2 linked regions of the Drosophila melanogaster genome follow. The protein of the gene in region 1 interacts with the protein of each later gene in a pairwise test. Each region holds a gene or a part of one and is shown on either strand. Other genes may lie near its edges.

Region 1 (6,874 bases):
AACACTTCCATCACGATATAAATATTTTTAAATCTTACTTGCGCCTCTTCTCTGGTGGCAACTTGACATCGTTCTGCAGGCGGACGTTGATCAGATCTGCAGGAGCGCCCACAAACCCGCCAATTCCACCGGCAATCGCGGCTAGACATGTTTTGCCGGCCATGGTGCTGGTGTCCATAGCTCCAGAGCCCACCGAATAAATGCCAAAACGGGCCAATGTGTACGTGTATTGGCGCAGCATTGAGGCCGAGATGCCATTGTACATGGCCAGAGGTCCCTGTTCCTTGACAATCTTGCGGGTGGTCTGGAATACCGATAGCTTCTCCGCCTGAGTTTGGATAAGCACCTTGATCAAGTCAATCGGATGAGTCACCATGGCAGCCATGGAGCTCGCCAGACCTCCAAAGTACCAGCGGGCAATACGCCGCTGGTTGTAGGACATCAATCCACCCCTTCTGAGCGACATTTTGTGTTTTCTATTTGCTAACTTCTTACCCTTAATTTATTACTACGGATCTACTTGTGTGTTGTTTGTTAAATGTGAGTATAATGTATATGTAAATGAAAGTGCGGGGTTGATCTAACGACTGACGAGTTTAAAGGCAAGGAAAGCATGATTGGTGACTTTAAATATTAAGACACAAAAATTTAGAATTTACTTTCAAATCATAGTGCATCATGGTAACCAAATGAATTATTTAAATGTAGTAGAAATTTGGTCGTCCCTTCGATAGATCCTACATTATCATAATTAGCATCATAATTGCATTATTTACGTTTTATTTCACTCACTCCTAATCTGTACAACATCGGAATTCCTATAAGGCCTCCACCAACAATGCAATAATCCATCAAGCGTTTTTTGACCACTTCGTCTACAGAATTCAGATACAGATATAATGGAAAAGCCAGAGCAATCAAGCATGCATTTAGTAGTATCACCATAATTATTATCCAAGCAGCTCCTTTAGGCTTATCCTTATTACCTGAAATCATTATACTAAAACAAAACGTATTATTTGTGGGTCTGCCACCTCACCTGTCTCAACTAAGCTGATCGATTCGTCTTGCCCATTTTCCAAGATTCCGAGCTCCATTTTAAAACTCCTTGTCCCGTTCGTAATTGTATTTTCTATATATGAAACTTAATGAAGTTCAACTTTGACACCAAATGCAAGGGTAATAACTTGTTATTATTAATAATAATACAAACCGCTTTTCATCATAGCAGTTGTCATGGAAATCATACACAAATACTTTTTATATTCATATTCATTTATATATAAATATATTTTATTATTATTGTGAAAACTTTCATTGCTAATTTTAAAAATGGTAATTAACATACTCTTTGTTGGAATTTTTGTGTGGAGTATAGGTCCTAGGTAGTCATTACAAGAGCGTTTCCCTGTCACATTATTTACACCTGATTTGCCAAAAGACTGCTACTTTACATCCGGGCAGGGAGCAAAGCAAAATGGAAGAAAACAAAACGACCTGAGCACGCAACAAAGGTCTTTGGGAAACGCCTCAATCACGCACCTCTGATTATGCTAATGGATCTGAACCACTGTTGTTTCATAAATATTTTGACAGCTCAAGCACCGGAAACGGACGCTTGAAATTGTCCACAAGTGCCTGTATTTTAATTGGTCATTTGGTTTTGACAGTTGGAAACTCAGGCCTAGCCACTCGAATGGAAAGCTCGACCGCTCTTTAAACAAAAGTGTGTGAAATGGGTAGCAGTAGCAGGCTATTAAATAAATAAAACTTGGCCAGAAAGTTATTATTTGGCCGATACAAAACGTATCTATTCCATTGGCAGACTATTAAACCCAACATAACGCTGGAGGAATTTGCTGCTAGTAGAGCAGAATATATATGTATTTTTTGAAAATGCAATAAAATCGGCACAACATTTTTGAGAAATTGCCTCAAAAGCGAAATACATTTTATATTCAAAACAAAGTGGGTTGCAATTTCGGCCATTGGCATATGGGCAAAGTTCAGTCGCAGATAAAAGCGGCTAAATAATTTGGTTTCAGTTCGATGGCCACGAAAATTGAATGTTATTTCGATTTATGTTCCGTTTTGCGCACAATTCAATGGACTTTCGGTGAGTTTTCTACCAAAATCACGGCTGATGGATTGGATTTTAATTCCGGTGCAGCTGTCCGCGAACATACAAATATTTGCAAATCCCGCCCAAATTGTCGCATTGCGTTTGCTTATTTTTCATGTAATTCTATTTTGCGGTTTGCTTAACTGAATGCCAGCTCACGTTTATTATTTTACCATAATTGGTTTTAGCTGCCAAAAGCCGAAAATATAATTATCGCTTGGTAAGATGACCGACCGCCCAGTAACAAAAAGTTAACGGCAGAAACTTTTAAATGCTCAAAATCTTTATAAACTTTATTTATTGCGGCCAACTCGTTGGGAGTTAAGCTCCAGTTTAGAAGTTAAACAGTTAGTTATATAGTTGGCCCGCTTATTTGTTGCTGCAGCACTGGTCCTTGGGCCCATTCTTGCAAACGCACTGGCAATCCTTGTTGCAGGCGCAGTTGTCCCCGCACTTTTGGGCCGAGCACTGGCAGTCTGTCGAGGAATCGAGAACGATTGTCAATTATACAGCTTGCTGCTGCGTTGTACCACTTACTTGTTCCACAACCCTTGCAAACCATCTTGTATGTATCTATTTCTCGACTTTCACTTGGCTGAGGCGAACTGATATTCACTTGTTTGCTTGTTGCTTGGCTATTCAACTGATGACCCAGTCCGGCAACTCCCCCACTTTTATACCCACTTCGATTGCCTCGAACTCGAACGAGTGCAAAATTGCACAAATCCAAAACAAATTTGTTTGTTTGACCCAACTTATCACGTCGTGTGCAAGTCTGGGGCGAGTGGTTCGCAATTTATCAGACGATAGGCCAGGCAATTCTTTTTGCGCACGCGATTGCTCGCCAACTCGGTGCACACGAACTCCTCATCAGCTTATCAGCTGCCCACGTTGCGTATACGTTGCGTATACGCCGCGTATCGTGACTCAGCCCACAGCCCAGAAGCACACAATAAAAAGCATGAAAAGCGCAGGCAGCTACCCAGCGGGGTTTTTCACAATAAATAAAAGACTTTCCTGTAGTAAAACAAATTTAAATGCTCATATTGGCTGCAAAAACGCTTTACGACTAAACTCTTTTCAAAAAAAACCCAGCGTAAATGCCATAAAAATATCACATGTGGAAAGCTAACTAAAAATTAATAGAGGAAAAAACGCGCTGCAAATTAGGCAAAAACTATAAGCTCTGCGGGAGCTACGAAAACAGTTCGTTGCACGGAAAACCAAACACCCGGAACAACTTTATATATATTTATGACTTTTAGTAAAAAAAAAGTTTTCGAGAACAAATATAGAAATAGGCCTGACTTAGTTGTTTTTTTTTTTGCTAGGTGTACCTGCAACAAAAGAACGACTTAGATAAGTTTCCTGCAGTCTCTAACTCGGCTAGTTTTTTTACCTTTACTTTTTTACCATTTTATTTACCTTACCTTAAAAAAAAAATATCTTTAACGAGTATAATGAATATATAATTGATTCTTGTGCTTGTGTTGACCACAAGGTTTATATTTAACATCACATAAACATATATAACTTGACCAGCCAGCACCGTTCAGTTAGAGTATGACTTCAGTTCCTTACCACAAATTGCATGAATATCCTCTCGTCCCCAAAGTGTCCTTCGATTTTTCTCCGTGTAGTCCTGGGAACATTCCTGTAGAACTCAATATTTTAGAAAGTCAAGTGGCAGGTGTTCCGTTACCCCAAATTAAATTAAGTAATTATGAGGTCAGCGAAGGGTGTCTCATGCGAATTTAATGGGACACTTTTGATGGGAGCTATATAAACCTAAGACTTATTCTGTCAGCCGATCAAACAGCTGAATCATGCTGTTCCGCAAACGTAAGCCAAAAAGTGACGATGAAGTCATCACCTTCGACGAACTTACCCGGTTTCCGATGACTTTCTACAAGACCATCGGCGAGGATCTGTACTCCGATAGGGATCCGAATGTGATAAGGCGTTACCTGCTACGTTTTTATCTGGTACTCGGTTTTCTCAACTTCAATGCCTATGTGGTGGGCGAAATCGCGTACTTTATAGTCCATATAATGTCGACGACTACTCTTTTGGAGGCCACTGCAGTGGCACCGTGCATTGGCTTCAGCTTCATGGCCGACTTTAAGCAGTTCGGTCTCACAGTGAATAGAAAGCGATTGGTCAGATTGCTGGATGATCTCAAGGAGATATTTCCTTTAGATTTAGAAGCGCAGCGGAAGTATAACGTATCGTTTTACCGGAAACACATGAACAGGGTCATGACCCTATTCACCATCCTCTGCATGACCTACACCTCGTCATTTAGCTTTTATCCAGCCATCAAGTCGACCATAAAGTATTACCTTATGGGATCGGAAATCTTTGAGCGCAACTACGGATTTCACATTTTGTTTCCCTACGACGCAGAAACGGATCTGACGGTCTACTGGTTTTCCTACTGGGGATTGGCTCATTGTGCCTATGTGGCCGGAGTTTCCTACGTCTGCGTGGATCTCCTGCTGATCGCGACCATAACCCAGCTGACCATGCACTTCAACTTTATAGCGAATGATTTGGAGGCCTACGAAGGAGGTGATCATACGGATGAAGAAAATATCAAATACCTGCACAACTTGGTCGTCTATCATGCCAGGGCGCTGGAGTAAGTTTGACGGTTATATATTATATATATCTCTCAATTCATCCAAATTAAGGATAAGAACTAAACTACTACATGTTTTTCTTATAATACACTTTTCAGCCTCAGCGAGGAGGTCAACAACATATTCAGCTTCCTGATCCTGTGGAACTTTATTGCCGCATCGCTCGTGATTTGCTTCGCTGGCTTTCAGATTACAGCCTCAAATGTGGAGGACATAGTGTTGTACTTCATATTTTTTTCAGCTTCGCTGGTTCAAGTCTTTGTGGTCTGTTACTACGGCGATGAAATGATATCTTCAGTGAGTTTAATTTTTATTAATTTTTCTTGTTTTCGGTCTAGTATTAACAAGAAATGTACATTTCAGAGCTCTCGGATTGGCCATTCGGCATTTAATCAGAACTGGTTGCCATGCAGCACCAAATACAAACGCATCCTGCAATTTATTATCGCGCGCAGCCAGAAGCCCGCCTCTATAAGACCGCCTACCTTTCCACCCATATCTTTTAATACCTTTATGAAGGTAATCAGCATGTCGTATCAGTTTTTTGCACTGCTCCGCACCACATATTATGGTTAAGGGAAGATTAGATACATATATATGTATGTGCATAGGTACATCGGAATATTGATAGCAATCCATCGAATACGAAAAATACATATTTGCAAAATAAGATACTGAATTCGTTTGCAAAATACAAATACATAAGTACACATAATGTTATATAACAAGATAACAACTTGTGATCTTTAAGAAAAAACAGTATTCTATCCTAAAAAAAACCACAACAAATCAAGTTATTTAATGTGAAAAATATATAAAAATTCATAAAATTAATAAAACAAATCTTAAATTGTCATAAAAAAGATCTGTTCTGTTAACACTTTACAGATGTTATAGAGGGTAAAAGTTATTAATTAATACATGCTTTAAGGCTGTGACATAAAGTCCCCATGAAAAGAACATTAACGTTCCCGCGACAGAATACTTTGCATACTTTGCGGATCAGTCATAAAAAACGACTTGTAATACTTGTAATATATGGAATTTAAAGGTCAATCCGCAAAAGACCATCAATCCCTGCTTCACCTTGAAGACCTTAAGTCCCGTCACCGCACCCATAGAGCTGGAAGGTGTAATCCTAGATCAACCTTCACAGGCTAAGTACCTCGGGATTACCCTTGATAAACGGTTGACTTTCGGCCCGCACCTGAAAGCTACGACTCGGAGATGTTATCAAAGGATGCAACAACTTCGATGGCTGTTAAACAGAAAAAGCACCATGACACTGAGAGCCAAAAGAGCAGTCTACGTCCACTGCGTAGCCCCGATCTGGCTGTACGGAATACAGATCTGGGGTATCGCAGCAAAATCCAACTACAACCGCATTCAGGTATTGCAAAATCGTGCCATGCGTGCAATTACAGACTGCCCATACTATGTACGTGGCACTACCCTTCACCGTGATCTGAATCTTCATACAGTGGAAGAGCAGATCTCCAGGCACACCAGCAGATATAGTGATAGACTAAGACGACACCACAGTATACTTGCTAGACGCTTACTCCCTGCTAGGCCTCTAAAGAGATTAAAAAGGAAGGGTTTCGCCAAAACACTTGGACAACCCTAAAGACCCCCTCGAAATATGAGACAAAGTTGTAAGTCCTCACAAAGTGAGAGGTTTGGTTTTATCTTTTATATGTTAATTGCGCTGTTATGTTACTGTTATTGCATTGTATTGATTCATCGCTTCTAAATAAATAAATATATAAAAAAAAATACTTGTAATAAAATGCCTTGTTTATTCGCAAAAACACTCACAGTGAGTGTCGTGAAAGACTAAATGGATTAACATACATAAATATAGACACAATGGTGCGCATATCGCTAGCATCACAAAAACGTAACAACGACAAATACTAGGGCACAAAATTCATGATGTGATGAAGCCGCCAAACTAAATGGCTTAGTCCTTCAATTCGGCGCCACTGTTAACAAAACCGGCAGTTTGGGTCAACTGCAGTTGGGCCTTCTCCTCCGCCTCCTGGGCCTTCTGCTCGGGCGTCTTGGCCCATTCCTGCAAATCGCCGGAGCAGTAGAACCAGTAAATGAC
Region 2 (8,002 bases), on another chromosome or scaffold:
TCGACCCAAGGACGCTCCCTTAGCCACGACGCGCTCATCATCCATCCGCCTGTGCGTTTTGTTTTTTTTTGTTTTTTTTTGTGAAGGGAACTCGATAACTTCGCCTGCTGTGCTCCGGACCGTTGCAGTCCCTCTCAATCCCCGCCTGCATTTGGAGCTCAGACAGGCTCGAAACTGTGCTAACTTTTCATCAACTCAGTCCGGAGTTTGCCGATGCTGCGTTATCGAATAACAGATTCATTAAGACCCAAATATGGTTTACACATTTTTGGCTAGCGTCGAGCAGGAAGAAGCGGGCCATATTAGGAATAGGATACTTGGAGCTCAGTTTGTACGGATGCTTGCGGAAATCAAATTTGCAGTTCGGCAGGAATCGATTTCCTTTTTAATAGAACATTTTTGCCTCCCAAATGTGCTTTGTTTGATTCGATTCATTACTTCTTCCAGCTAGCCCTAGGAATTTTCGAATAAAGAAAATATTTCGGAATAAATTATAATTTTAAATAATATCTTAAGAGATTTCCTTATACTTTTCTTTAAGTTCTTTAGACTTATAAAGTTATTTATTTTTGTATCTTCAACAGACTTCAGCAATTGCTGCTGGTGCCATCGACCGATTGCGGAGAATGCGCCGGACTACCTGACCAGCTGCGACGGACCGCGCTACTGCTCCGAATCCTGCTTCGCCCAGAGCCGGAGGGCATCCTTCAAGAAGGCCAAGACCTGCGACTGGTGCAAGCATGTGCGCCACGCGGTTAGCTACGTGGACTTTCAGGACGGCGCCTCCCAGCTACAGTTCTGCTCGGAGAAGTGCCTCAACCAGTACAAGATGCAGATCTTCTGCCACGAAACCCAGGCGCACCTGGACATGCATCCGCACCTGCGGGATCAGGCCATGGATGCGGGCAGCGAGGCTGGGCTGATAACGCCGGATCTGTGGCTTCGAAACTGCAGGAGTCGCTCGGCCTCGCCCGCCTCCACGCTCTCGGTGTCTCCGGGTCCGCCGCCTGCTCCGGCTGTCAGTCGCTGTCCGGACTCACCGCCTAGTCATCATCCCAGCAAACCTTTGATCTCAGTGGCACCCGTCTCGAAGTTGCTGGCCCAGAAGAGTCCGGGTCCCGGACCCGGAGCCCCTCCACCACCGCCACCGCCTGTCCAGCGGCATTTGGCGGGAAAGTTGGGTCGCCGCAAGCGCCGAGGTATTTCCTCTTCCTTGGGCTCGGAAACTGTGGCCAGTCTGCTGCAGAAACAGCAGCAGCAACAGGCACCGCAGCAACATCAGGCACCTCCCACGCTAACGGCTGACTTTGGTGGATCCAGCGTACCACTGCCTCCGCTCTCGCCCATGCCCAGCATGCAGGAGGCACCACAACAGCAGCAGGCTCCTCAGGTGCCACCAACACAAGCCCTGCCACGGGGACCAACAGCCATCCCGGCCAGCTACTTCGCGACGCCTTCGAATGGTGTGCCCATGGGACATCCGTTTGCGGGGCGCCCACCGCCGCCTCCGCATCACTTTATGCATCCACCTCCGCATGGCATGATGCCTCGTGGATTTGGTCCGCACTTCGGGCCACCGCTTCCGCCTCAAATGCCCGAGCTAGGGTCTCTGTTGGGGGCTGTGCCGCCGGTGACCGTGATGGTGCCCTATCCCATCATCATTCCCCTGCCCATACCCATACCCGTTCCTCTGCCTGTGATAGATTTTTACAAGGCACACCTAACTCCCGAGGAGAGGAAGCGTTTCGATGAGCAGCGGGCTGCTCCAACCAGAGCGGAAAACGCAGAAGAACAGGAGCAACCACAGCCGCTGGACTGCAGCAAAAGCAGAAGTGAGCTGGAGGAGGAGAAACCAGATGTGGAGAAACTAAGTGAGCCTGGCCAGGAGCTGGACAACGATCAGGAAGAGGATGAAAAGGAATCCATACCAAAGACAAATCCAGATGGGGACACCAACGCGGCTTCGCCATCAATTTCACAGGAATCATCGTCTTCACCACAACAGACGCACTGCATCGTCAGGGATTCTACGCAGTCCGAACCCGAGGCGGACAACCAGAAGCTGCCCAAGCTGAAGATCACACGGCTGCAGACCAAGCGAACACTGATTCAAACCAAAGAGGCGGCGGCCGAGTGTAGTCGACCGCTGCGCAAGCGCAAAAGGATCATCGACTGCGATTTCCAAAAAATGGGTCTTAAGGAACCGGAAATGGCCAACGATGGCGAACAGAGCAACGGCAGTAGCAACAAGGAGGCGGATGCGGATCCGGAAGCAGAGTGCAATATGAGCGGCAGCCACAGCAACAGTGGTAGTGCTAAAGCTAAAAAGTAGACATAGACCTTAGGATTTACCCCTTAAAAGTAGTAGAATGTATTTATCTATGTATGTGTGAGTGTGTCAGTGTGTTTGTGTAAGCGGAAACGGAAATGGAGTCCAGAGGAGGAGAGGAATGCAGCAAAAGGCACAAAGTGCATGCGGTACTCAGTTTTGATTCTTAATAAACTAAAATATAACTTATTGGATAAAATGTGTTTAATTATTTAGTGGATGTAGTCCTGACTAATGCACTTAAGCAATGAAAAGTATCCTAGATGCTAAATATTCTTTATATATATTTTTTTATATACTTTAATAAGATACACTTCAAAAAATATTCTTTTTCAAGGGTGGTCAAAGTTCATCTAAGTAACAAATAGCTGCATTGCCAAGCCCTTTAATTGGCTTCAAAAATATTCTAAACAAATTCACAAAAAATAACTGAACCGAAGCAATTATCAAAAGGTTATTACAAAATACATATAAAGTAAAGCTATTTCAAGAGGATCGCTAAGCCGTTGCAGTCAGGGTAATCAGTGTCTGTTCCTCATTGTAACACTTAAGACTAAGTCATAGTTCAGTTGTAGAGGTCCCACAATGATATCTGGCCATCCATGCCCGCTGCTGCCATGATGGGAGCATGCCACATGGCCACCTGTTGGCTGGAGAAGGCCAAGTCCATTACGCCGCCATTCTTGTGCTGCGTAAGCACGGCCAGCGGTCGCAGGCTTTTCCACGAGAAGATCCGAATACGACCATCCCAGCCGGCACTGGCGAACACCTTCTGATCGGGCCGAATGCGAACGCCATTCACTCCAGGATTCTTGATGCACAGCTCCGAGCCGAGCTGCATTTGCATCGATGAGCGCTGATAACTGAAACTAATCAACTTGTCGGCTGTAAGAAAAGAATAGAACTATTATATCACGATAATTTGTTTGGACTTAAGCTCCAACTTACTTGGACCACCCACAATGCCACGATTCGTAACTGGATCGTAGTCCACAGACGTAGCATCTTGGGCCAATTCCATCACATCCAAAATAACGCTCGAGCTGATGTCCCAGGTGAGGAAGTGTCCCGATTCGTAGCCAGCGAGCAGGAACAGTTGCGAGGCGCACTCGAAGGGCTTGAAGCAGGTGACGCTACCCAGTTTGGGCAGTTGGGGATCATCTGGGACCAGTATTTGCGTGGGGGCCGCTGCATCCGTAACGTGAAGCACTCCGATGGACGATTCCTCGCAGGGATAGAAGAGCAGCTGCTCGTTGGTCTTGCTGGTGTTCGTGTGCAAGGCAGATCGGCAAAAGCCCAGGTGATTGCCTGGAATACTGCGCTCTTTAACGTAGCTACTGCCGCCGATGGAGAACATGGTGATAGTGCCGCCCTTCTCCTGGGTCACCAGGCGATCAGGGGTGTGGTGCAGACTGGTTATGGGGTCGGATCCCACCTCAAAGTGCAGAGCGGAGCGGTTGGTCTAAGAAACAAGTTGTTGGTTAATAGGATATTGTTAATATAATTAATTAAGTACAAACAGAGAGAATACATTATTCACCTCTGGTGTTTAAAACTTGGCACCTAACAGCGTGATATTGCTATAAATATTACAAAAAAGTTGGATCAAAGATCGGACTATGGTTGCGGCTACATATACATATGTATATTTATATATGGATTTATGTGTGTATATGCAACGTGAAAGAAAATTTTAAAGAATTACATACTTTCGCTTAATATCTTAACTTGCAAACCGCTTTTATAGCATAATATCTAATGCCAGGTTGGCTTGTGAATTAACATAGATAACGTGATAAAGATTCTCACTTGCAAATCCCAGAGGAAAACGCTGCCTTTGATGGTTCCCGCCAGCAATCGGTCGCTCTCCTGGAAACACAGAGAGTTGACGGCTCCCATGTCGGGGGAGCGCAGGCTGAATACAGGATCTGGTGGTAGCACAGCCATATTTAGAACTGCTAAAATTAATTAACTAATTTGCGTTTGTTTTTGTTTGGTCTCGTGGTAGTGTGGCCGCTGTGGGAATATTTAAAAATATATCAGCACTGTTATCGATTTGTTATCGAGCGCGCTGCCTTACTCCCCACTGGTTGCGTGAATAGTGCGCCAGAGGGCGCCCTGGGCGCGCCAATCGGCAAATTCAAACGACTTTTTCGCCAGCAGCAACGCAAAACGCATGCCGAATATCTCACTTTTTCATTGAGTAGCAGTAGCCTCTGCGGAGAAAACAAGCTTAAAATTTTACAGCGAAAAATCATTAAGTCGCTAAATGCGCGGACTATTAAAAAACATAACGTGCACCGCAGGCTTACGCGGCTTTAATGGACTTTGTCAGCGGTCTCTCGCCTCTCATGTGGCCTAGACGCTAAGGCCCGAATCGTAAAAGACTTGTCAGCCAGATTGCGCGCATTTGGCCAGATTGCGAGCGAAGAAAACGGGCCCAAAAATATCTACACATGTGTATTTGGAGTCCGTTCTGTTCTGCCGGCCGGCCGACCGTCCGTCTGTCCGCAACAAAGATCGCAAAATAAACATGCCATAAGCTCGTTAATCAATGCTAAGTTGACAGTTTTAAGTGGTTTTAGCGAGCCAACACCAGCGCAAGCGGTCAATAATTCGGAGACTCCTGTTGTGCCGCAGGCTCATGGCTCACCATGATTTACGGTCCCAAAAAAATGCGCTATATTTTAATTGAGTGCAAGAATTTATTTGAAATTTTTTCAGTTACGATTGCGGCCCAAAATATGAATTTGAAAAGGATGTTTCTTAATACTTAAAGCTTGCTTAGATATTTTGTTAAATAATCAATTGCAAGGATTGTCAGGGATTCATTTTAATTGCTTGGCAGTGGAATAAAATTATGTTACATGTTGTTACATTGTTCTATTTAAATTGTATTACATTTAAACAAATAGGAATAAGTAAATTTTAGGCTATTTTTAAGCCAAACATAATTTCTGCTTGCCAAGATAACCGCTTATCTAACAAAGTCACAATTTCTCGATATTTTTCACATGTGCTCACTTTCCGTATTTAGATTGCACCTTTCCGCAGTTGACTAGACAACCAGACGCACTCCGTAATTCGATTTGGATGCAACAAGTTAACACGTTTTCCCCTACCCACCCAAAAAAGCCAACCCTTTTGGCCGCCATGCAGTCGTCTGGTGAACAGTTGAAAATGCGGCTATAAGTTCATTTAACTGCCGAAGCAATCATAAAAAGGGTTCAGGCCCGTATGACCATTCCAGCTCATTTGCTTTCGACTCGGTTAATTCTTTTTGTCTCCCACAGGATCAGGGAGGAGCTGGGGGGGCAGAGGTAGCTGCTGAACGACAAGTCCATAAATCTTTTCGCCACAGAACCGAAGGCACGAATCGGTGGAAGTGAGGCGTTTAAACTATTTATGCATGTTGGGTAATCCATTTGAAATGGGTCAACGACTACAACAACAATAACTATAACAACGGCAACGGGAACAACGAGCTCATAAAACTCCTTAAACGTTTCCAATAAGCCAAACCAACCCAACGCAACCCAACCCAGTTCGAAGTTGAAAACATATTGGCTTGTTACCTTAATGAAGTCATAAATTTTCGCTATCGCATTCGGGGCATCTCGGCCACATTGGGGCTGCGATGGCCCAAAGTCCCCGATTCTCCGAGCTACAGGTTTCTAAGGAATTCCATTTCGGGATAGAATACTCGTATACCAAGTGTTTTGGCACACATACGCGTCCGTTTGGCCGATAGTTAATCAGGCTTAGGCTGATATATGCTGACAGAGTCGGTCTCTGGTGTAGGCCGCCACTCTCGGAAAAGGATACGCATACGTGATCATCCCAGAGTAACCCAGAGTATCCCAAAGGGTATCGGTAACCATATACCCCGCTGCGCGAGTATTCCGCGTATTTGCGAGGCGGGCCATGGAAATGAAGTTATCACGCGACAAACAATGTCTGCTCCGGCCCCTGCCACCAATAACTTTATATGGTTGTCATTATTAGTCGGAAATTAAATGGCCCCGGCCACAGAGGACGACACTTGGATGACTACCCGACTTATTTATGTGCTACCTTAATGGAGCTTCATCTACTCGAAATGGAGACCTGGCGATTTGTTCTACTCCTCCTGCTCGATTGCCCCGGATCTGCGATCTGCATCCAACTGCTGCTCGTGTTGAGTTTTTACTTCGCTTTTACTTTGCCATGTCCATGAATCACTCGATGGGGAAAAAGGAAGCGAGGTCTAGGTGCTGGTATTTTGATTTGAAGATCGCCCTGTTCAGATCGCCGGGCAGGAGGAATTCCAGACTCAGAAGTAATTTGGATATGGTGATGGGTTCGGTAGAAAAATGAAGCTGATCTTTACAGACAAATTGGCCATGTAATGAAGGTTGCAACATCCGAACAGGATAATATGTTTTATTTATATACAAAAAAATGGTTCAAATTATCTCCTAACAGATACATCTTGTAACTACTTTTGCTTTCCTTTGTCTTCTCACCCGTTATCCCATAGAAAGTGATTGGTGCGACTGATACAATCTGTGTAGAAACCACCACAGATTCCCCGAAATAAGTTGGAAACTCCGGCCGAGTGCAATCAATTAAAATATCGACGTCTATCAGCGTGATTATAAATCAAACGATAACATAAAATTGACACTAAAGGCGTTTCGGCCATTTTTCATGCCGGCCTGGCCAACGTCGACGTCGAGATTAAGGCCTCGGATATACGTATGGGATCCGAGCTCGGTGGCCAAACATAGATGGAGTCACATTTTGGGCCACTTGAGCTCGCGTCTGAACTTTGCTTCGTATTTATGCAAATTATCCGTTGCCGGACGGGAAAAACTGGTCCACAAAACGGCAACGCAAGGCGAAGTGCTCTCTGTAATTGATCAATTTCCGCCGAGCAGCCAGACCGGATCGATTCGAATCGAATTGGTGCGGATCGGATCGGATCGCCCAGAGAAGTGAGAAGTTGGCAGACCCGCAGATTGACCAGATCCGATTGGATACGATAATGTGATGGCCACTTGATCTTCGGCTGATTTATGGAGCCCAACGAGGGCTTGGCTAATGAAATGCCACTTTAGATAGCATATTTTGTGCCCGTTTTGTCTTAAGCCCACCATGCCCATAAATACGGCAAGTTATGACACCTGGCGAAGGTGCACCCACATATCGCCGATGACATTGGACATTCCACTTGATTGCCTCCGACTCTCGGAGCGGCAATCAGACGCACTCAGCAAAAGTGCCAATCAAGCGCAGGACATGTCGACAAAGGATGCGCTCGTCTGCCCATAATCCTGGGTGTGAATGTCGAGGAGATAGGCACTGGGTGGAACAGTGGAATGGGGCACTGGAATGGGGCACTGCACACTGGACATGGAACTTTGGAGGGCCTGAAATCGAAACCTTGTCTCTGGGGTGTCAATAACATTGTCCGTGTGACTGCCTCCGGGCATGATTGTTGTCGTCGTTCTGGTCGTTGTTGCGGCCATTGATGATGTGGATGCGTTTTCAGCTCCATTGAACTGGCAGAAGCGGCACAGTGAACTTCACAATTTGGGTATCAAGTGTGCATACTCAATAAAAGTGTAAGGTTACCTAAATTTATTAGGTGATGATGCAGCTCAATGATGAGATAATAATTGAAGATTATTA

Evidence for each region. Proteins that work in one complex are often made in the same cells at the same time.
Region 2: the proteins of MtnB (region 1) and CG13192 interact in a two-hybrid assay, tested with the Drosophila melanogaster proteins (one study listed by BioGRID).

The regions. Positions count from the first base shown.
Region 1 is NT_033777.3:20,500,847-20,507,720, forward strand, and holds MtnB (metallothionein B), read right to left. Parts: upstream 2,773-6,874; 5' UTR 2,685-2,772; coding exon 2,660-2,684; intron 2,599-2,659; coding exon 2,492-2,598; 3' UTR 2,256-2,491; downstream 1-2,255. Other genes in the region: Dic2 (dicarboxylate carrier 2), read right to left, coding at 39-466; CG46441 (uncharacterized protein), read right to left, coding at 699-737, 793-986, 1,040-1,097; Or92a (odorant receptor 92a), read left to right, coding at 3,949-4,763, 4,863-5,061, 5,128-5,340; MFS9 (major facilitator superfamily transporter 9), read right to left, coding at 6,728-6,874. UniProt on the Drosophila melanogaster protein: This protein binds cations of several transition elements. Thought to be involved in metal ion homeostasis.
Region 2 is NT_033778.4:11,821,690-11,829,691, reverse strand, and holds CG13192 (uncharacterized protein), read right to left. Parts: upstream 4,348-8,002; 5' UTR 4,277-4,347; coding exon 4,139-4,276; intron 3,792-4,138; coding exon 3,278-3,791; intron 3,215-3,277; coding exon 2,895-3,214; 3' UTR 2,595-2,894; downstream 1-2,594. Other genes in the region: Sobp (sine oculis-binding protein), read left to right, coding at 585-2,332.